Linked DNA regions of Arabidopsis thaliana. The protein of the gene in region 3 interacts with the protein of the main gene of each other region in a biochemical or structural test. Each region holds a gene or a part of one and is shown on either strand. Other genes may lie near its edges.

What was found.
Region 1: the proteins of UBP1 (region 3) and UBA1A form a complex in vitro, tested with the Arabidopsis thaliana proteins (one study listed by BioGRID).
Region 2: the proteins of UBP1 (region 3) and UBA2A form a complex in vitro, tested with the Arabidopsis thaliana proteins (one study listed by BioGRID).

What each region holds. Positions count from the first base shown.
Region 1 is NC_003071.7:9,386,769-9,393,369, forward strand, and holds UBA1A (RNA-binding (RRM/RBD/RNP motifs) family protein), read right to left. Parts: upstream 3,739-6,601; 5' UTR 3,683-3,738; coding exon 2,639-3,682; 3' UTR 2,282-2,638; downstream 1-2,281. Other genes in the region: AT2G22080 (uncharacterized protein), read left to right, coding at 197-325, 825-1,229; AT2G22088 (uncharacterized protein), read left to right, coding at 1,616-1,772, 2,034-2,281; AT2G22100 (RNA-binding (RRM/RBD/RNP motifs) family protein), read right to left, coding at 5,629-6,601. UniProt on the Arabidopsis thaliana protein: Acts as a component of a complex regulating the turnover of mRNAs in the nucleus. Binds with high affinity to RNA molecules that contain U-rich sequences in 3'-UTRs. May function in complex with UBP1 and contribute to the stabilization of mRNAs in the nucleus.
Region 2 is NC_003074.8:21,046,384-21,054,972, forward strand, and holds UBA2A (UBP1-associated protein 2A), read right to left. Parts: upstream 5,938-8,589; 5' UTR 5,762-5,937; coding exon 4,325-5,761; 3' UTR 4,300-4,324; exon of another isoform or gene 3,372-4,299; 3' UTR 2,344-3,371; downstream 1-2,343. Other genes in the region: AREB3 (ABA-responsive element binding protein 3), read right to left, coding at 171-251, 616-687, 771-1,511; AT3G56870 (uncharacterized protein), read left to right, coding at 6,694-8,061, 8,141-8,216, 8,311-8,589. UniProt on the Arabidopsis thaliana protein: Heterogeneous nuclear ribonucleoprotein (hnRNP)-like protein that acts as a component of a complex regulating the turnover of mRNAs in the nucleus. Binds with high affinity to RNA molecules that contain U-rich sequences in 3'-UTRs.
Region 3 is NC_003071.7:13,896,276-13,904,822, reverse strand, and holds UBP1 (ubiquitin-specific protease 1), read left to right. Parts: upstream 1-2,952; coding exon 2,953-4,199; intron 4,200-4,282; coding exon 4,283-6,046; intron 6,047-6,151; coding exon 6,152-6,392; 3' UTR 6,393-6,413; downstream 6,414-8,547. Other genes in the region: AT2G32785 (uncharacterized protein), read right to left, coding at 1,336-1,551; PAP13 (purple acid phosphatase 13), read right to left, coding at 6,620-6,736, 6,911-7,183, 7,268-7,458, 7,552-7,772, 7,858-8,425. UniProt on the Arabidopsis thaliana protein: Recognizes and hydrolyzes the peptide bond at the C-terminal Gly of ubiquitin. Involved in the processing of poly-ubiquitin precursors as well as that of ubiquitinated proteins. Is involved in resistance to the arginine analog canavanine (CAN).

The DNA.
Region 1 (6,601 bases), 4.5 Mb from region 3:
GTTGTTTCCTCTGTTTTTCATGATTCTTTCTATGATTGCTCTGTTTTGTCTTTTTTTTTTCTCGTCAATAACTTCAAAACGAAGATTGCTCCATATTTGATAAATGGACAAGAAAGTTGTCTGAAAATTTTGCTTTAGTTATTATTATTGCAGATCTAACGGTTTTCATAACTGTTAAATACAGAGTGAAGAAAGAATGGAGTTGAAAGAACAAGGTATGAGTATGAGGTTGTCTCTGGTTCTCGGTAACGCTTTAGTGCTAAACTGCGCCGCTTTGGCTTTAACGGCTACTATGCTCTCTTCTTTGCTAGAGCTCTTCTCTCAGGCAAGCTTTTTCTATTTTCAACTTTTTTTTTTTTCCTTCTTAACAAACGTTTACAAGTATTCGCGGTCGCACAAAACAACAACTTTATAAAAATAGATTTTTTTCTACACAAAAGTTTCACACAAATTTTTTTGGCTACAAAACTAAATCTTGACCGACTTGAAGCGTTACTTCATCAGAATGGGTGGTTGGAAAAATATATAAAATTAAAAAGTTTTGGTTAAATATTGTGAGGGTATGTATATAATAATAGCTATTAGTTGAGGACGGTTGCTTTTAATGGGGAATATTAAGATAGATTTTTAAAATCTAAATTATAAATTGTAGGTCCAAAAAAAATCAAAAAGGTATATTCCATATATTATGCTTCCAAGTTTTTCAAATTTAATGTCTAGAAGAAGCCCATGTCCTAATTTAGTATGTCGGCCCAATTTGTAAAATCATGTTAACTTGGTAAAAGATTGTTTCTGGTAGTGATAAAATGAATATGAAGCTGCAGGTTACTGTCTTGAAGGGTGATGTTATAGAGAATGGATATGAGGTGGTTGATGCAGTGGAAGGCAATGGAAACAATGATGATAGTGGTGATGATGGAGGAGAAGACGAAGAAGGCAGTGCAGATGATGCAGAAGGAAAGGAGACCAAGAAAGGACCGGTAAGTGATCCTGATTTGAACGGTGAAGCTGGAGATAATGATGATGAACCTGAAGGGGATGATGGTAACGATGACGAGGATGATGATAACCATGAGAACGATGATGAAGATGAGGAGGAGGATGAAGACGAGAATGATGATGGTGGTGAAGAAGACGACGATGAGGATGCGGAGGTAGAGGAGGAGGAAGAGGAAGAAGATGAAGATGATGAGGAAGCGCTTCAGCCACCAAAGAAGAGGAAGAAGTGAACAAACCGCTTTGATCTCCTAACATTTTAGATTCAAAAATCAAAACTTGTTATCGGTTTTTACCTGAAGAGGAGAGAATCTTAAGGCATCATCAGCTTTAGCTTCAACTGTGTCTTTGTTGTTCCATAAACCAAGACTTTGTTTAGTGTAACATTTTCAGATCCAATGGCACCAGCTTTCTTTTCTTTAGCCCATCATTAATGATATATGCATATCTCTATGAGGTCATCAAATGCGATCAAATTTATATAACAACTTCAAGGGTCAACTTTAGCTGTCATAAATAGTTAAAAGAAAGTTAAATCCTATTGAGTCCTCATAGAGCAAACCTTTTTCCCCAGAGGTCACAATACAGATTGCACAGAGGTCTTTAACGAATAATCACAATGATATTACTTGAGCCACAGACTGTCTATCGTATGATATCGGACAAGAGTGACATCAAACAGAAAAAAAAAGAAAGGAAGAAAAAACAATACAAAAAAAAACTAAAACGTACTGACTTTGATAGAAATGTTAAAAAGAAATCCCCAGAAACTGCATGTTTATCATTCTCATGCTCAGCCCACACCATCTGCAAAAGTTGGAGTTCAAGAAAACAAAACAAAACATAACTCTATCAAAAGCTGAAGACAAAAAGAAAAACATATGGAAACAAGAGCAATGCTCTATCTTTCTGGTAAGATAACCCCGAAAAGTGAAAACAATAGAAATCAAAGGGACAAACATAAAAAAAATGTTAAAACTCAAACTTAAGTCTAAAACCATGAGTGCAACAGCATGAACAGATGCTATAGTTTACAGTCCGTTTAAAGACGTTAGCACCAAAACCAGATGAGTGGAGAGATGGTGGACGTTCAGTTTATAAAACCCAGTGCAACACTAAAACAAAAAAAGCCAAGAGACAAAAAGAATGTAACAATATTCGTCCCCACCATCACCAACCTATAGAGAAACTAACTTCGATAAAACAAATGGCACTTGAGAAAACTGTAAAACCAGGGACAGTAAAGAAAAGAAAACAAAACATAAACCAACAAAAGGAAAAATAATGGAGAAAACAAAAAAAACAAAAGTATGGTGGGTCACATTGCATCTACTTGAAATAGAGTCGAAGCAAGATTCATGAATAATGAATTACGGCAACCGATGACAATGCTAACCTACCTCTAGAACATAATTTAGGTATTTAATTCCTGTAGCAGTTCCTCCTAGGAATATACATATTTAGGCATTTAAGCCAACTATTTGACTAGAGAGGCATAATAATGTCAGATAAAATTCCGGTACTACCACAAAAGCCTTAATCCATTTATCTACACATGACGGAGCTACAATGAATTTATGCTTATCCAAAGACATTCAAACCACAATATTAGCACAAACATTGCTACAAAACACCAAAGGTTTCAGTGAACGTACCATGAATAGTTTGAGTAGCCATGAAAGGAGGAGCCACCAGCATCCGAATCTTTACCCGTCCCTCTTTTTCCACCAGCATCCGAATCAGGATAAGTACTAGGCAGACTCTGACCTCTAAAGTAAGAACCTAGAGCTGAAAGACCAGCAGCACCAACGCTTGGATCAACACCAATCCCACCCATTTGACTAGACTGTACCATATCAGAACCCAACCCGCCATGTGCTAGAGCACCCGCTAACATCGGATACATGTAACCTCCCCCAGCTGCTGCTGCTGCTGCTAAAGCTGGATTTCCCAACATCCCAGCTCCATAAAGCGGATGGTATTGGTTCCCTAACATAAACGGCGAAGCAGCCATTCCACCACCGTTAAACACATGTTGACCTTGTACCTGCTGTTGCTGAGGCTGTCCATGATTAGCCATCGAACCCATACTAATCTTCACCGGACCAGGTTGATCATGCCCCTTTCCTGAAGCCGCAGGACCCATAGAAGCAAGCTGGCAAGTGGCAGTTCTATTAAGAATCCTCTTCTTCGGTTCTTTAAGAGCTTCTTTAGCTCCTTTCCTAGTCTTGAACATAACAAATCCAAACCCTTTAGCCTTACCAGTAGCCTTATCTATAACAACGGTACACTCTTCAATCTCACCATAACCTTCAAAGACTCCAACAAGAGTCTCGCGAGTCGTCTCCCATGGAAGACCATAAACGAAGATTTTCCTGTGTGTAACATCACGATCTGCGGCTTCTACGACGGCGGAATAGATCGAAGATCCGATTCGAGAAGCGGAACAAACTAGATCGACAAGCTGGTCCTTGGAATAAGGTTGTAGAAGCTCACGGAGCTCTTCTGGGTCGAATTCGTTGTCTGATTCGGAATCGCTAGAATCAGAGCTGGAGCTTGAACTTGAATATGGCGTTGAGGATTCTGGTTGTTGTTGTTGTTTGTTAATCTTCTGTTTCTTATCGAAATTCGTGGATTTGGATTTCACGAGTTTGCGCTTCTTAGATTTGTCTAGGGTTTTCGCCATTGTAGTAGAGGATAAACGAGTCAAGAAGCTTTTAGGGATTTTGATTTTTGATTTTTGATTTCAGTTTCCTGTTTCCCCTCGGGTCAAGAGTTCGATTTACTTTATCCTCGAGATGTCGTTTTTCCGATTTTTTCAGTTTAATTTTTTTTTTATTCGAGTATTTTGCTTTGAATATATTTTCAAATATTTAGATTATTTTTGGATTGGTTTATTTTGAATATTTTTATTATTTTACATATTTTTAAATATTTGCTTTATATTTAAGATAAGGCCTTAGATCTTTGTAGAGGTTACATGGCAAGATGCTGGCTTTAAGTTATGATGGCTATACATCAACCGGAATACCATAAGCTCCCTAACTTTACGGGGTGTGAACTTTGTGGTACTTTTCTTTTAGAGCGCCGTCAGAAAAGATTCCTGGCTAGGCAGAGGTTTTAGCCATATTGGTGGTGTCGCTCTGCTACTTGTTTATTCATTCACCAGTTGAAACTTTTTTTTCTTTCTTTTTTATCTTTATGTGTTATGAGAAACTAAAAAAATAGTCACCGAGATCTTAGAGAGGGTTTTGTTTTTGTTCTTAAGATTTTCAGAGTTTCCCCATTGGAAAGAAAAACAAAGCCCTCATAAGATCATGATCACAAAACAACGAAATCAAATGACCAAAACCAAACCAAAGTTGATTTAGCTGAAGCATACTATAGATTAATACGAGTTGATTCATATGGATGGATGGATAGCTGCAGAGAAGACCAAAAACCGAGAAACAAGATTGATCCTCTTAAGAAATCGAAAAACTGAAAACAAGATTGATCCTCTTAAGAAAACAAGCATTCGCATCATCGGTCACTGTGAGGTCATTGTGAAAATCCAAAGAAAAAAAAAAAAAAAACAAGTATGCTTTGCTACCATAACCAGAGTTATATAGAATATGAATAACGAGCAGGTAAAAAAAAGGTAAATCCAGAACAAAGCTATGTAAGGTGAAAAACAAATTGGGTCCAAGTACCGATGACCAAAAACAATCTTGAACTTAGGCAAGAAAACTTGGCAACTGATATCAAAATGGACTCTTAAATACAAAAGAGAAAGGGGCGACACTACCATAAAAGAGGAATGTGATGAAAGAGATTGAGAAGCTTATAAAAACCTATGGGGAAGAAAACAATGCTTGAAGGAAAGAAAACTCAGGTTGTTTATTCCAGAGAAAATCAACTTGAAGCTTTTGAAAGAGTCCCAAAACTTTTTCCAGTACTCAAAAAGACAGATTTAAAACAAGAATGTAAAACCATTATGTCTGATCCTACAAACGGGTCTCAAGACAACTGCAGCTGGAAGATACAGACTTTTGGCAGTTATGACATATAGTGGACAAAACTATAAATGTCATAAGCTTCTTCTCCAGCTATAGCGAACAGATATTCAATGAAAATGCGGGAAAACATAAAACCAAAAACAAGGAAAAACAAAAGAGAAAAACATACGCCATGCCACAGAAGAAAACCAGACGTGAGTTTGATGGGTAAGGAGAAGACAGAAGACCATAATGGGGGACTCCAAAAGGGAAAACAAAGAGATAGCAAACTACTTTAAACCAATATTGATCCTAGTAACTAAATCTTCTAGACAAAATGACCACATTTCACTGGTTTATGAGAACAGAGCAGAACACCAATGACAGACTTCCAGAGAGCAACAGAAAATTCATCCTTTGAGCACACATCTCCCTCAAAATGGCTCATATAGGGGTAGATACCTCGTTAAAAGAGACTATAAATAATGAAACTAAAAAAGTAGGTTTGAAACATCAGGCATAGAAAATAAAGATCCGCAAAAAAAACTCCTGCAATTCCCAAAATATCAAGTTGGAGTCGAAGATACCGGACTAATCATTAGCCTAATCTATAACTTGAAATATCAGAGAACATGGTCATACCACTTGGGTTCTCTTATCTCAGATACCAAGCACGTTCACCATCAAAACCAGCACCAGCACCAGCACCCGCACCAACACCGTTAACATTACCATCACCAACATATTGTCCCACCATTCCCATATGATTCGGTGGCATCATAGGTCCTTGATTCATCATACCCGAGCCAAACATACGATAATTCTGTAAACCAGCAACCATCGGATTACCCATCATTGCACCATACATAGGATTAAAACCAGGAGGAGGCTGAGAATGTCCATAAAAGGGCATGTTCTGTCCAGCATACATTGACATATTCTGCTGCTGCTGATGTCCCTTATCAAGTCCATGACCCAAATCAATCCCAGGCAAAGCCATTTCACTCTGATTACCCGTATGACTCAAATCAATCTTCACAGACTCAACCGGTTGTTGTTGTTCTCGTGGCTTTCCAGAATTAAACGGCCTAGCTGGTAAACAACTAACAGTTCGATTATACATTCTCTTCTCCGGATTCTTCAACGCCGCTCTCGCTCCTTTACGCGTCTTAAACAACACAAAGCCAAAACCTTTAGCTCTTCCTGTATCTTTATCCATAACCACAGAACATTCCGTTATCTCCCCATAAACCTCAAAAGCCGCCTTGAGATTCTCATGCGTTGTATCCCATCCAAGACCACGCACGAATATGTTCCGTTGAGAACTATCTCTATCCGCTGATTCAAACACTGCTGAGATCAATTTAGAACCTTTCTCAGCAGTTTTGTAAATTAGGTTAATAAGCTCCTCTTTAGAGTAAGATTCAAGTAGATTCTTAATATCTTCCTTATCGAATTCGAAATCAGAATCAGACTCAATGGTAACAATCGGGACCGTAACAGGCTTTGAATCGACGATCTCTTCGGATTCATCTGATGATCTCTTATGTTTCTTCTTACTCTCCTTCGATTTCTTAGGAGATGGAGATGGAGATGGAGATTTCTCCTCTTCTTCTACTTCTTCGTAT
Region 2 (8,589 bases), on a different chromosome or scaffold from region 3:
GCTGCTAGTCTGCTACTACAATAACTCGAGAATATTTTAAAGTTAACAGAATTGCTCCAAGTCAAGAAAGTCTACGGAATGTACAAAGAAACAAAGCTGTTTTCCTCTCTTTTTTATAAGTGAACCGACACAGAAGAGAAAAAAAGAAAAAGACAAAAAGAGTTTAGAGATCAGAAAGGAGCCGAGCTTGTCCGTCGGAGCTGCCGCTTGGGATCAGGCGGTGGTACACTTGGGAGGATTTTTTCCACCTCCTGCAAAGTAATGTAAGGATTAGCTTTGGCCACACATAAACGCAGACAAAATTGAAGAACAGAAAGTCCATGAAGACTAGAAACCAGCAAGACCAACTTGTTCCGGGTAAAGGAAAACTATGTCTCCTAAGACGTTTGGTCTAAACCTATTCCTCCTGTCTCTTGTTCGTGGTTATATTTTCTATCATATATTGTCTACTATGCGTGTGCCCTATTCTATACTTCACTACATCTTCTATCATCTATCATTCCCTTTAATATGAATCCAGAACTAATCAACGATCAGCTCTTACAAGTTTCTAGTAATCACAAATTTAATCAATGCATGTGTTGTAAAAAGGGAGAAAAACCTACAATGCATTACCTTTTGCTTCCTGAGTCTTTCGTTTTCTTCTTCTAACCGTGAAACTTTGATCTCTAGCTCATGAGTGTAAGCCTGCTCATCAATATCCAATGTTAAAACAAAAACGAGCATGACTTGACAAGAAGAATAACAACAACAAATTAGTTGTTTCTCACCTGTTTCCTAGCTCGGGAACGAGCAGCAGACTCTCTGTTCTTTATCATTCTCTTCTGCCTCCTCTCTACAGTCTTCTCTACAACTTCTCCTGAAGCTACCCTCTTCCTTCCAGGAGTTTGTGTATCTGACAAACCACCCATCAAAGAAGACTGAGACACCATTGCTTGCATATCTGAAACCGGATAGGGCATAAATGCTTGAGGCTGTGGCATTGATGGGAGCTGATGATATTGAATCCATGGGCCAACTTGAGTAATGTTTTGCCCTAAACCAGCACCTGAACCAGCACTACCACCACCAACAGGACCATCATGGTTCGAACCAGGGATAGTCTCAGTGACCACTCCTGCTTTCAACAACAGGTCTTCAAGCGTCATTTCCCCAAGTGTAGGCTGCTTATCCCTCCTCTCATGAGCACTACCTCCATTCTTATTCTGCTGAATGTCTTTCCAAACCTCATCAACAGTCTTTTTGCTGAGATCCCGAGGCAAAGTCAAACTCCCCTGGCGAGAAAGACCCTCCTGAGCAGCTGCTCCACCATTGACAGCCATAGACGATGGCTGATTAGCTTCAACAGAACAGACACTCTTCAAAAGCTCATCAAGGTTCATGCTTCCCAGAGCTTTACCAGAACTCCCCAAGTGATTTTGAACCTCATCAAGTGTTAAGCTGTAAAGAGAGCTTTGCCTATTCAAGGACTGAGATTTAGCTTGTTCAACAATACCCCTCTGAGAATCCATAGGCTTTTGTAGCGGACAAAAAACAACAAGACAGATAGATAAAAACAATTCTGAACCCACAAATCAGAAACCCTAATGCTCAATTTGATAAATAGCCACACGACGACGAATTCATCAAATCGAGCCTAAATCGGAGGCGAAAGTAACCTTTTTTCTAAGGTAGAGTGGCGAAACATGCAGAAGAGAGACGAGAAGAAGAGAACCCAGAAATCAAATCGAAGGAAATGGCAGAGAGAAATCACGGCGTTGTAGCAATCAGAAAGAGTCTTGGGAATTGCATGCAGCATCGAAGGCTATCAAATGCAGATACTAAACATGGAAATCGCAACACAAGGACAATCAAACTCTTGCGAGGTACAGACTTTTCGAAGAAGAAGAATAAATCAAAAACTTAAGCAAGAGAAAAAGCAACAATCTTTTGGAGCTTAAAAAGGACCAGATCTAAAACATGGCAAGTTTGGGTTTTTCTTTCTCAAAAGAGAAACGAAACTATGATAAGTGCAGAGACAGATTTACAAAGCAAACCTAAACTCTGTGTCTGTGTGTGTCTGAGTCTCTCTCTCTCTCTTCGTTTTGTTTTCGCGCAGGAGAGGAAAAAAGAGAAGAGAGAGAAAACCTTTTGATTGAGAAAGTGACACTCGATACTGTGGCAATGCCCCCCTCTCAAGCCTCCTGTGGAATTTTCAATGCGTTTCTTCTTTTTTTAGTTGCCCAAAAATGGTTTCTCAAACTTTCGATCAAAATAAGAAACAGAGGTTTGTTTAAACACTTAATGATTAGTGATTAACTTAAATGAAGGTGGAATCAATAAACACTACATGTGCTCGGAGACCCTTCATTCATTTAGCTTCAATGGGAATTTAGGTAGATTGATTATCAAACTTTAATCAGAAAAGGTTATACATATACATGTTTATGTTCTTTGGCTCTCAACACTAATCCTCATGCCTATGAGTTTCTCTTTAAATGGTAAGTGATTACTATAAATTAATCTGCAATCATGTTAAACCATTTTTAGGCAATAATTTACATGTATTTTTTTGCAATATTGAAATCTCAAACCTTTAATTATACTTTCTATTATCCAATCTCAGATTGGGTTTTATGAACATTGAATGTGGCTTTGAAGAATATTGCATCTTGGATTCTCTTCATCAATGAAGGACCTTTTTCCCTTTTCGAAACTTGACATAACAATTGAGAGATTGTTGACTTGAGATCAAATACACAAAACTCTACTACTTACTTCCCCCAATTCCACTTCAGCTTCATATTCTGCTTCTCTTCTTCATCATCAATGAACCCTTCTACTATGTATCATCATCATAAATAATATTCAAAGCTGCACTTTTCCAAAAAGAGATTTCACCATCAAAGCAATCATCACCAAAAAAACTTTATGCATTCACGCCTTTATAAACTCCTCTGAAACATTAAGGGAAATAATATATCACCTCGTACTCTTGTGACTTTTCTAATAATCCCTGAACCTTGTGCACAAGGACCTGAAGGTACATGCTCTCTAGACCAAAACCAACTTTTATCACTTCAAAGAGGGACTAGGACCAATAAACAAGAACATATATAGGCAAGAGATTCGCACTGAGAGATATACTTTTAACACTTTTGATTACTTACCCTTCAATTGGAAGCACGTTGTATATAGCCAAAGAAGATACTCAACACTTTGAACTTACCTTTTAGTTGCAAGCATGTTGTGGAGATCCAAAGACTTAACTGCCTGTTGTCGAGAAACTCTATTCGATAGCTTCCACTTTTCAAATATTGAGAAATTGCCTCAGAAAGATCATTCTTCAGCTGTGTCGTTGAGAAGCTTGCACCACTTCCCACCAAGTTTGACTGTTCCAAGTTGGCTGCAACTTAGTAATTTTATGACAAATAAGTTTGGAAACAAAGTTCTAATTTGAAATAGTCATTGTAAAAACTTTTGAAACTTGTCATAGAAAATCCAAAAACACAAGTGAGAGAGCTCTGCTGCATTTTAAAATTCCAAGTTTTGATCATTTCAGAACCAATTGCATTCAGATTAGTATATGTGTGCTAAAGAAATTTCATTGACAGTTAGGGGTACATAATCTGGCTGTTCAACCGCAGTCAATTACCTGCAAGAGGAATAATTGAACAAACATAAAATCAGGATAGTACATAAAGCCAGGTTAATCAAGATAACTTGGTACAAAATACACTGCAGGCAGAAAAACACATGAAATCGTAAAACAGAGAAGTCAATAAAAACTATTTAGGAAAAACTAGAGTTCGATAAGCAAAGACCCACATGGAGCGTAGTTGCGCTTTTTTAGTTTTACAAATGAAAGTCTAAGGGGGATATTCAGAAAACTGAAAAAATAGAGACATAAACACTGAAAATAGTAGTACAAAGTTTTTTTTAGGAATTTCATAAAGAGAGTTTGGGAAAAACAAGTAGATGAAAACTAAAACTCCTTAAAAGGTTTTTTATGAGTTTGGCCTTAGGAGTGACCAAAGAGTAACATTTCATAAAGACTTCATTTAGCATCAGCTCCTTATAAACTTGAGAAGAATCACCAGGCCAATATTAAAACACTGATTTCTGATATCTGCACAATGAATTTAAGAAAATAAGAGAAGTAACATGCTTTAACAACCGTTGCAAAATCCCCCAAAACTCCAATGCAAACAAAAACCATGTGGATATACACAGAAACTTCTTGTCTTCAGACATCAGTAAGTTAATATATACTGAGGAAAGACATTTCAACAATTAAACAAGGGAAATTCATTGCTCTACCTGAGTGGATGGATACATGATACATTTAGTGACCCATGTAAGGAGTACCGTATGGCCCGACACCATGTTGCCCTCTACTTGTACCGCCTTGACCAGGTTGCGGAGTCTGATAACCGCCTTGCAACCCAGGTTGTGTACCGTACCCAGGCATTGTCCCCGGTGCCATAGCTTGAGTACCGTAACCAGTTGGCATTCCAACTCCATTCCCTGGGTTTACACCAGCAGCTGTCCCCAAGGAACCCAACAAAGCCTGTCCAATTGCCGGATTAAAAGCCAAACCAGCTCCCTGAGATGCCAATAAAGCTGTCAAGGCCTGTCCAATGGCCGGGTTTATCACCTGTGCCGTTGGACCACCCATCCCAGCTGGGTTACCAGCCATGAGATGTCCATGACCTCCAGGCGGACCATAACCATTGTTATCATTCCTTTGGTAACGAGGATTGTTATAGGCGTGTGGGTTATGGTGATGCTGCTGCTGCTTGCCCGGTTTGGGACCATCGATAGCTTTCTGGCAATGCAAGATATGGCCTTCAAAAGTCTTGTGTGGCTCCTCCAAAGCCCTCTTGGCGCTTTCAGACGACTTATAAACAAAGAGACAGAAACCTTTAGGTCTCCCAGTATACTTATCAAGACCCAAAGGACCTTCTTCAATTTCTCCAAACTTTGAGAAAAACATCAGCAACTTCTGTGGATCAAGCTCTGCTCCGACATTACTAACATAAATCTTTTTCTGAGTATGCTCCGAGTTCGAATGCTGAGCAGGCGCTGAAACAGCTGCAGCAGCGATAGGAGCTCCACCAAAGACAGGTCCTTTAGAAGCCAATTGGCATGCCGTCATACGACTACCAATCTTCTTCTGAGGCTGCTTGAGTGCGTTGCGAGCACCTGAACGAGACTTGTACAGAATAAAGCCATAACCTTTAGATTTCCCTGAGATCTTATCAAACACAGCCTTGCAATCTTCGATCTCTCCGTACTGCTTAAAAGCTTCAATAAGCGTCTCTGTTTTCGTATCCCAACCAAGACCGTGCACAAAGATCTTCCGATGAACAGGGTCCTCATCAGCTACTTCCCTAATTCGATTGGCTACATCAACATGCTTCTCCGCTGCTTCCTTAAGAAGACTCAAAACTTGCTCCTTTGAAAATGGTTCCAACAGATCCTGAATTGGTTCATCGTCATCATCTTCTTGATTGCCAGATCCAGACGTCGCCGCCGCCTCTATACGATTCCCATCCGTCTGATCCTCATTCTCATCACCATCATCTTCATCGTCATCATCTTCTACTTCTTCTTCTTGCTCTTCCTCTACTTCCTCGTATTCAACTTCTTCAACGTCTCCTTGATTATCCTGATTTTTAATTACAAGCTGCTGCTCCTCCTCCGGCGTCTGCTTCAGCTTCTGCGACGGTTCTTCAGCTTCGTTAGATTCTTCTCCTTCGAGCTTTCTCTTCTTTGTCATTTTCGAATTCTAATGGAGATTTTAGGGTTTCGAATGTTTTCTTTGGTTTCTTCTCCAAAAAGCTGATTTTCCCCTCCTTATCTATAATGCGCCGCTATGTGGGTGGTATATCATCAACCTCAAGTCTTTGCTAAGTGGATTTTTACACATTTACCCCTAACCATTTTATATATATAAGCCCATTAATGATTATTGGGCTTTAAGTTTAAAGACCCATTTACGAAAAGATGCTTAAGTAAGAAAAAAAGAATAACGTCAAAGTTCCCGCCATGTGTTTCCCGCGAGACTTGACGGCTCATAAGATTAGTCAGAACTCAGAAGACAAGACAACCAAAGAAAAGGTTTCGCCTCCCTTCTTACAAAGAGCTGCAATTTTCAGTCTCTTGGTCTTCTTCTTCGTCTTGTTTTCAAATTAATGTCTCTCTGTCTCTTTAGTGAACCCTAGATCCAGAAATTAGAGTTTGGAGCCCAGGATTCGGCATTCATTTCCCTTCTCTATCCAATTAAGCGTTGATTAAGACTTAAGGTAAATTCAATGTCCTAGATTCAATTTCTCTTTGATTCATTCATCTACTTTACCCAGATCTGCTCTTTACCATTCTCGAATCGATACAGCTACAAAAAAAATTGATGTAGCGAAATTAGGGTTTTCGCCGCCCATTGTGAATTTCATTTTTTAATTTGCATGTCCTTTTTCGTGGTCAGATTTGTGCAATTGATTTTCTAAGAAAAGAGTTTTGGTTTCAAATTGTGTTTAGTAGCTAATTGATGTTCGTTTCTCTGATTGGCTTAATGAAATTTAGGATTCTGGTTTATTGTTGTTAGCACTTAGCAGTATCCTTACCGGTAATTCCTTTGTTTGTTTCAATCCAGGAGCGCGGGGATTATACGAGCTTAATCAGTTGTTAGCAAGTAATTATCTGATAGTTACAATGGTGGAGTTAAGAAGTAGCACACACTTGAACTCTCATGTACATTATATCCGAACCATTAAAGACGGATCTATCAAAATAGTGATGAATATGGATGGCAGAAGAAAACCAAAGCTCAAATTTAGACAGTTGGTGGATATATACAATCTTGAAGACAGTCAAGGTGTTGAGTCAATTCCAAGAGTAGTCAGGGATTTGGACAATGGTTCTGATTTTACACAAGGTTCTGAGTCTGAAGATTTTAGCATGACAACATTGGAGATGATTCAGAAACAATGCAAAGAAAGGAAAAGGAAACTTAGAAACTGCAGAGATACTACTACTGAGACATTCTCGAACGTTGAAGTTAAAAAAGAGTATGTGACCCAAGATGAAGGATGTGATATTGAGGAGCCTCTTAGCAGTTGGGATACGAAATTCTCCAAGAGAAGGAAGAAGAAGCAGGAGCGTAAAAAAGCAAAGTGTGGTACTTCTACTTCCTCTCCTCCATCTGTGGAAAAGGTTGATTTGCCGTTGGTGCTCTTTCATGTCAAGCCTGAAGTTTGGGATGATAGCTATTCAGTTTCTGAAGCCATGGATTGTAGTGAAAAGTCAGAATCTCCTATAAATACAGTGTTGGTGGAAGAAATAATGCTTGATTCGTCCAGTGACATGAGGCTGGTTCCATACTGCAGTGCAGAGCCAAATTTTCCCGGAGTGGTAGCCATTGAGGAAGCTTTTGAAGATGCATCAGAAGAGTTTAGCGATGCTGATTTTCAGAATAAGCAAATTGTTTTGTACTCTAGTGTGTCTAGAGAGGAGATGGAATTGGATGTTAATCCACAACATTCAGAATATGAGAACATTGGTTGTGTAAAGAACTTCATTTCTGCTTACACAAGCTCTGGGTGCGAAGAAGAAGATAAAGAGGATGAGGAAAGCAATGATATAAAGGCTAACTTAGATATGAGTGTAACTGGTTTGGAGATTGTGAAGATAGAAGCTCCAGAAATACTTGCTATTGATTACCCCGGTTGTTTGTCCATCATCAATTTTTGTGCAGAAGATTCCGAGATTGTGTGGGAAACTGAAGACATTACTAAGGATAATTTTCCTGAAGCAACTGATATTCTCCAGCTGACCAACTGTTGTAATTCACTGGATAATCTGCAACCAGTTCCTGAAGACAGCACAAGTTCAAAAGAAGAAGATCATTTGACAGAAAGATTACAACAATCTTTATACTCCAAACATGAAGATGAAGCAGGAGACCACAAACTATCACAACTGTATAAGGAACCTGATGAGGTTCAAAAAGTTGCAGAGACTGACAGTATCCAGCAACAACAACCACACCACCAACCAGAAAATCTACTCTCTGGGAGAAAGGTTTGTCCTCTGTATAATTTTTTCTAACCGCATTCTATTCTTAATTCAGTTTCCTTAGTAGATACATTTTGGTTTTCAGGCTTTATCTCCCACCTCTCAAGAAAAACTTCGCAAGGCAATGGAGCACCCTGATTCACCTGAGAAAAGGAGTAAAAGTAAGTCAATGAAAAAAGAAAACTGAAGTCTTATTTATATGCTTTGCACTGTAAAACTTTTAGATGCTCATCCATGTTACAAACTGTAATCCAGAATCAAGAGGGAAACTCTACTTCAGTAGCCAAAACTCACATAGGATCCTTAAGGCTCAAGGGCTGGATAACATTGACCGAGTGGAAATCATTCCAAGCTCAAAGCAAGCCATTCAAAAAGCAACTAATAATACGCGGCAAATGAAGTATCAAAGAGCGACACACAAGTTTCCACGTCGAAATACTCAAGCAGCAAAAGCACAGCCTTTTAGCACTGGAGGCACTTCTATACAAGGATGCTCACAGAAAGCTATTGCCTTCTCGCAAGGGCAAATGCGTG
Region 3 (8,547 bases):
GAAACATGAAGGGATTATCAAACCTTTAAATAATATTCAAGATGGGAGACAATATTGTTATGTTTCTTTCCTTTTTTTGGCATGTAGATTTGGAGTATCTATCTAAAATATGGATATTGTTATTTTACTATTTTACTCCTAAAGTGATTAGAATTTAGTTTCACGTCTAAAGAGATATCGAAAGTTTTAAAGATTTTGTTATCATTGCAAGTTTGCAACAATATACTGGATAAACAGTTCAACAAAACTGAATCAATTAACAAAACAAAAAGACAGATTTATACTTTTGTTTTTCTGAATGGTACAAAAACAATAAACTGCAAATTACAGGCAAATTATGTTTTGATTAGTTTTTTTTTTTTTTTTTGAACCAAGTTTTGATTAGTTTTCTTAACTCGTTCAATTATCTGGTTTCTTCTTCGTAAATATGAAATGAATATTAGTCGATGGATTTACGGCCAGTCGGCCGCCTTGAAAAATCAGTAAGCAGTTTGGTAGTGGCGGACCCAGCCAAAAAATTAAGTGGGTACAAAATGTAGCCAGATAGAATCGAACCAGCCACCTTCACCATTTAATGCTTTGAAAGCTATAAACGTATCTTTTTTTTGGGGGCAAAAGCTATAAACGTATCTTAATCGGAAAAAAAGATACGTACATGAAAGCTGTTATAATCAAGTTTCTAACAAACATACAAAACCGAAATTCCTACTCTACTATAATATTCGTTTTAAGAACTAGTTATGATTTATGATTTTTACATTCTTTATATAACTTTATTTTAGCTGAAACGATAATTTATTCAAAACATGAAGTTCATATCCATATATATAAAATAAAATTACACATAGACGGTATTAATTTTCTTACGTATAACATAATAACTACATTAGGAAAGTCACTTTCTCATCAACTTAAGTAGTTTGTGCTAATGTCGTCGATATCAGCATTCACATTTAAATCCGTATGATACATGTTCTAGACAAAAGAAACTAGAAACACATAATTGTGTATATATAACCATTAAAATATAGATTGATTGATATGATCGTTTTCATCAACGATTGTAGAGAAAGATTACACTTTATTATCATATAAATTGCAATTTATCTATGAAAGGATAAAATAGGAATATATATATATATATATGAATATATATAATAATCATAAATAAATATATCTTAATCCATATAAAAGAATACATTTTCCCATTACCAAAAAAAAGAATACATTTGCCGCCCTCTTGTTCTCCATAATACGTTTTGTTGATTTCTTTTTTGAGATTTTTTGATATATATGACTCCGAATCGTGTTTTCATATCACAAAAATTCCAACCCCTATGAAGCTTCACTGTTTTTTGGGGGTGGCTTCGTATATGGATTTGCCCTAGTTTTCTGGCAAAACTGAGGATATTTTTGAGAACATCCCCATGCATGATTCACACGCATTGACTCATATGATATAACTTGCTCCCTGTTGATTGTATCCGCCTTAACAACAAAAATAATCAGTAGAGCGACACATAAAACCGATATTGCCTTCAACATCGCCATATTTTCAAAACGAACAAAGTAAACTAAATGGATTTACACTTACTTTTGATTATTTATTACTTTCTTATAGATTTCTAATTTCTAATTTTGCGTTGATGCTTTATAAAAATAGTTGGTTGCGTTTGCTAAATAAAGTTAATTGTTTTGGAGGTTCCTTAGTTATCCAATTCCAACAAGACTTTCTTTCACAAATGTAATTATTGTTATTAGTTCCAACTTCCAACAGTACATATATAAGATCTATGTTAGCTAATAACAACTAAATGTCGATCCAAAATTGATTCTTAAAATGTCAATCAAAGTTAGTTCTTTTTAGTTTTGTGTAGTGTAAAATTAGATAAATGTATTAACTCTATTTTATTTTATTTTGCCTTTTTTCCTGATTTTATCTACTCAGATTTTATTTTCCTTTTTGCTTACTCAAACTTTTTTTTTATATAATTATAAATAGTACATGGTCTACTTCTATAATTAAGTTACAAAACTATCTATATTCCCAGTTGAGTAGTTGACCTTTAAATATTTCTTTTCTTTTATTTAAAAACGAATTTTTTCATTTTATATTATTATTATTATTATTGGTAAAAGACGATTAAAAAAGAAAATTATTTGTGGGTAATTTTTTATTTTGTTTCCTTTACCCTTGTGACTTGGGTTCTCTTCGTCTCCCTCTCTCTTTGTCCGAGTAAGATACTGAATATATATAGTCTCTCTCGACTCTGTTACTCTCGACAACGTTGGCAAAAAAAAGTAAAGAAAAAAAAACGAACTTTGTGAGTTGTGACAAAACCTTCTTTGTGCTCGTATCTCTCACAAATCCCTAGATTAGGTTAGTTTCTAATCTCTTGGACTTCGTTTCGTCTTCCATCCTTCTCACGTTTAATATTATTCTCTTTGATTCTTCTTCTGCTTTGTGGGTTTAAGGGTAAAACATATGGACTCTGCTTTTTTACAACTTTTATTTAAAAAAGCATCTGTTTTTTGCGTTTAAGGTTTAGTTGACTACTAGTATTTAGTATAAAAATCCCAACTTTTTAGTTGTTTAGACCACTGGAAGATTTTGACTCTTTGAATTTCGGATTTTTGTTGGGTAGTTTTTACATACTAAGTATTGTAAGGTAAAAAGTTGGAACCTTTTTGCAATGTGTGTGCTAAAAGAATCCTGGGGTTTGTTTGATTTTCATTAATGTACAAGTTGATTGTTACTCCTTCTCTGTTTGTTTCGTCTAATGCTTCATTATTTATTTGCTAAGCTGTGATTTGATTATTCGGATGAAGCTAACATCTTTCTGTATAATGGTGTCTTTACGCAGTCTCCTTTGTCTGGCTTTGAAAGTTTGGTATATTTATAATTAGTAACGAATGGGAAAGAGATTAAAGAAGGGTCAAAAGCCTCCATATATGAGGTTTGCTGCAACGGTCTCCGAGAAGCAATCTGAGCAAAGCGTGGAAGTAACTGAGGAGTTTGCTGTGACAATGACAGAAAAAAGATCTTGTGTCCATTTTGATAAATATGTTGATTTGGATAAGTTGTTGAAAATTATCAAATCTTATCAACAAATCAAGTGTGGAGAATGCAATGAAAGAGTTCACGTGAAGAGAGGAAGTAGATGGGGTGCTAGTAACAGGAGAGACTGGTATTCTTCCTCTGACCAGAATTGTGCTAGAAATGCTATTTGGCTTTGTTTGGAATGTGGCTATTATGTTTGTGGAGATGTTGGTTTGCCGACTGAGGCTCAGAGTCATGTTATGGGGCATAACAGGTTGACGCGTCACCGTTTGGTGATTCAATGTAAAAATCCTCAGTTAAGGTGGTGTTTCTCATGCCAATCACTTCTCCCTTTTGATAATGAAGAGAATGGTGAGAAAAAAGATTTGTTGCTGGAAGTTGTGAAATTGATTAGAGAAAGATCTCCAAACACGTACTCTGCTTCATTTGAAACTGAATTTTCATGTTCAGGAAGTATCTATGGTGGTATAGAAGCAAGAGATGGTTATGCTGTAAGAGGTTTAGTTAACCTTGGGAACACATGTTTCTTTAATTCTGTAATGCAGAACCTTCTCTCTTTGGATCAATTACGTGAGCACTTCTTGAAAGAGGATCTATCTGTTAGCGGGCCTCTCGTTTCTTCCCTGAAGGAACTATTTGCTGAATCAAATTCAGAGGCAAGCGTTTTTAGGAATGAGATAAATCCAAGAGACCTTTTCTTTTCTGTCTGTTCTCAGGCTCCCCAATTTAGGGGATATCAGCAGCATGACAGTCATGAGTTGCTAAGATGTTTGTTGGATGGTTTGAGCATTGAAGAATCGAGCCTGAGGAAGAAGCTTGGTGTTTCTGATAGTAATGACAGTTCTACATATCAGAAACCTACTCTCATAGATTCTGTATTTGGAGGTGAAATATCGAGCACTGTTTCTTGTTTAGAATGCGGACATTTCTCAAAAGTGTATGAACCCTTTATGGATCTCTCTTTACCCGTTCCGTCCATGAAACTTCCTCCTAAAAAGCAACAAATCCTTTCTCAGGCAAAGGAGGTCCTTAAGAATGGGGCAGTCAGCAAAGATTCAGAAGTTGTGTCCGCTAAACCTGCATCGGATCACAATTCCACAGTTCCACTCTTTCCATCGGATCACAAGATTCAAAGCAGGTCTCTGAAATCACAATAGATACTGATACGGAACAGGATAACTTATGGTCCGAACATGATGACTTTTGGTCGAATTTTCTTAGACCAGAAACCTCTGACAATGAAACCGATTTGGTTTTGCTAAGCGATGTTAGTGATACTGCCCCATCAACCGAGGCTAAAGGAGTTAATCAGATTTTGGTAGGTAGCACAGAAACGCTGATGCATGATAATGATCGAACTGGAAAAACTGTACCAGATAAAGAAGATGTACGAGCTACGCAGTCTAATGAAGAAACATCTGCAAGTGGGATTTCAGCAGTGATAGATGAGGCTCAAGTTTGCGGTTGTCCTGATTTAGAGCAAAGTTCTTCATCTGCAAATCAGGGGGCTGATGAAGAGCTTGCCTTGATGGTTGCAGATTCTCAGGTTCTGTATATGCCTTATAAAGATCACTTATTCTATGATGATTATATGGTTGCAGAAGCTTCCTCGTCATTCGTGAGCGGTGACCATGAACCAAAAAAAGACTATTTTGACTTTAGCAGTTTTCTTGATGAGCCTGAGATACGCGAAGGACCTGTTTTTAGACCACTATCTAAATCTGAAGTTTATGAAGCTGGTTTTAAGGCTGACTGCAGTGATGATAAAACAGTTAGTGCAGGTAAGGGTGAAGCTTCCTCGTCATTCATAAGTAGTGACCATGAACAAAACATAGATTATGTTGACTTTAGCAGTTTTTTTGACGAGCCTGAGATATCCGAAAGACCTTTCTTTCGACCGCTATCTAAATCTGAAGTTTCTGAAGCTGGTTTTAAGGCTGACTGCAGTGATGATAAAACAGTTAGTGCAGGTAAGGGTGAAGCTTCCTCGTCATTCGTAAGCAGTGACCATGAACAAAACATAGATTATGTTGACTTTAGCAGTTTTTTTGATGAGCCTGAGATATCCGAAAGACCTTTCTTTCGACCGCTATCTAAATCTGAAGTTTCTGAAGCAGGTTTTATGGCTGTCAGCGGTAATGATAAAACAGTTAGGGCAGGTAAGGGTGAAACTTTTTCTTCATTCATGAGCGGTGACAATGAACGAAACATAGATTATGTTGAGTTTACTAACAGAATATTCGATGATCGTGGGACATCTGAAAGACCTGTTTTTGGACCACCATCTAAAGCTAAAGTTTCTGAAGCTGGTTTTGTGGCTGTAAGCAGCGACTCTGATCCTGCAGTTCTTGATGAATCGGATTCACCAGTGTCTGTAGATAGGTGTTTGGCTCAGTTCACGAAGCATGAGATTTTGTCAGAAGACAATGCTTGGCATTGTGAGAATTGTTCGAAGAACCTAAAACTTCAGCGGTTGAGAGAAAAGAGAAGAACTAAAGAAGGATTGAGCAACAGATGGGTGAATGAAAATGGAGCTAGTTCGGCTTTTGATGAGTGTAGAGACAGTTCACTAAATCAATCCTGTATAGATCTCGAAAACGGTTACAAAGCTGCTCCTCCGATCACAAAATTGCCAAACTGCAAGGAAGAGGAAAGCGCAATAGATGATGGATTTGTGGGAGAGGAAAATACAAAGCAAGCTCCAATTACTTCTGTTACTGAAACACCTCTCCTCGGTGGAGAAACCATCAGTTCTCAACCAGCCAGTGACAATGAATGTGAAAATTGGGAAGACTTGGCAGTAGATTCTGAAGAAGTGATAGTAAAAAGAGATGCTAGGAAAAAGGTACTTATAAACAAGGCACCACCTGTCTTGACCATACATCTCAAAAGGTTCAGCCAAGATGCTCGAGGCAGGGTAAGCAAGCTAAGTGGCCATGTTGATTTCCAAGAGTTCATCGATCTTAGCAAATACATGGACACTAGGTATGCCCATTTTCTCTATATACATAATCTTTTCTTTTAATGTTACCACATTTGGTCAGAAACCATCATAAAATCCACTAATCGTTAATTTCTCTCGCTCTCTAGGTGCTCCGAAGAAGACGAGCCGGTTTACAGGTTGGCCGGGTTAGTGGAACATTTAGGGGCAATGAGTCGAGGTCATTATGTTTCTTACATTAGAGGAGGCCACAAGGAGAGGAGAGACTCTGATACTAAAGAACCAAACTCATCCATATGGTATCACGCAAGCGATTCTCAGGTTCGACCGGCTTCTTTGGAAGAAGTTCTCCGTTCTGAAGCCTATATCTTATTTTACGAACGAATCTGAGAACACGGAGGCTGGATATCTTTTTTTTTTTTTTTTCTCTTTCTATAATTTAGGTTAATAGAACAAGATAGGTTTAACGTTCTTCACACATTGTGCTGGTGAACTCTCTTGACTTAAGTTTAGCATTTTGCCTTGTTTGAAAAGTTAAGTGTTTTTACGTTCAGCTTATAGATAATGGCTACGTAAACTGTAGAACGTTATAAAATCTACCGGTATAACTACTTGGTTTAGTTGCAAACCGAGCACATTTCAGGCTGACGTACAATATGTATTACGTCGGCGGCGAGATAGTACAGGTCTTGATTCCGGTTCCAGCTCCACAATGCATGCGTCTCATTCTTCACCTGAAAAGGCCAACGTAAAAAAAAACACTTCGTTTTAAGCAATTTTAAATTGGTACAATCTGAGAAAACAACGGACCGGTTCTGAGTTTGATCCATGATGCTTATGCCCAAGAACTATTCTTAGTAGGTTACTTGAACATCAAGCGATAAAGAATAGAGAGAGATCTAACTTACTTCTAGTATACCGAAACCGAAGCTGCTTTCTCTGTATGCGCTATACTCCGGCTGCTTAACCGGACAAGTCTCATCTTTTACAGGCTCCAACGTGGAGTTCAAGCCGCTGGATCTGCACGAGTAGTTCTGAGAAGGATCTGGAATATTTCCTGGGTCGTCTACATGCTGAGTCTCCAGCTTCCCAGCTCCTCCTGCACCGGTTGTTATATAAACCGGGCCACATTGGTCTAACGTGTAGTTGTAGACTCTGTTTGATCTCTCATATGCATCAACCTAGTTCAGGTTTTGTGGGAAATTAGCGTAAAAGAAGATATTTCCCAAAAGCAAAGGAATACTTTAACAGAACAACACACATACATGACTATTGAAGACGATATCGACTCGGTAGTTATAGAGCAAGTCTTCAAGGTGAATCCTCATTGATTCAGCTTCTCTGTAATGCCCTTTGAATGTGCTGTACCAAGGAAGACTCCAAGTTGCAACCACCCATGGAGTTTCTGATCTGTTTATTTTGATCAGGTCACTTTCAAGCCAAATATACTGATCAGCTGTTGAAGAAACAGGGAATTAAGAAAATCAGAAACACATTTCAATGAAATTTAAACCTAAAGAGAGAAAATCAAAACCTGGAGAAACTATACATGAGTTATCATAAAGTGTGTATGAATTGAGCACTATGAAATGAGCTCCTCCCGCGTTGAAAGAATAGTATAATGGTGAGAAAGAACCGCTTTCGTTTGAAGGGAATGCGAATCTTGAACTGTATGCAGCGAATGTCAGATTATTCTCGGTCTGCGGCTCAATCTCGTGCTCCCCTGCTACCATCATGGTTGGAACATTAGCCGTGAGTGGCTCCATGAACCTGTCATCAAAGACAAAGCCCCCAATAATTTAGTGTTTAAAACCATCAAAGGATTCACAATCACTAGAGAAGAATCTTCTTTTACCTTCCCCAATAATCCCAGCGAGGCTGATAAGTTTCTCCACTAGAATAACAAGAACCACAATCAGAACTAGTTCCATTTTGGTCACAATGACAAGAACTACAATCTAGTTTAGTCTTATTCGCAAGATAAGTATCAGCGTAGCTGAATCCTCCAAGTAAAACCACAAGATCTGGATGGTTAGACAGAATATGCCCCAAAACAGTTGATGTGTTGTAAGTAAGACCCAAATCTCCAGCCACAACGATTCTGTGTGGATAATTCTCTGATGTAGACTTAGGCATTGTCCTGAAGTAATACTCTTTGCTCATTGCTGATAAAGACGGGTCTCCGCATTGGTATCGGTACAATGTGTTTGGTTTAAGACCTGTGAGTTGAACATGGTGAATGATGCCTGAAGTATAGTTCATGAAACCATTCTCAGAAGAATACTGTTGGTTATAAACAATAGAATGGCCTGTTGCATTTTGCTTCCTAGTACGACGAACATCGAATTCACGGTATTGAACTATGCTTTGCACACAATTAGGATCCAGAGGTGCAGAATCTTTTTCACCAATTTGGTATTCCCCTGTAGTATATAATACAACAACCATGCTTCAGAGTTCAGACAAATGCAAATAGTTAACTTAAAGGATGAATATTTAAGCAAAAATCTTGATGAAGCTTCTTAAGTAGATCCAGCTCTTGGCT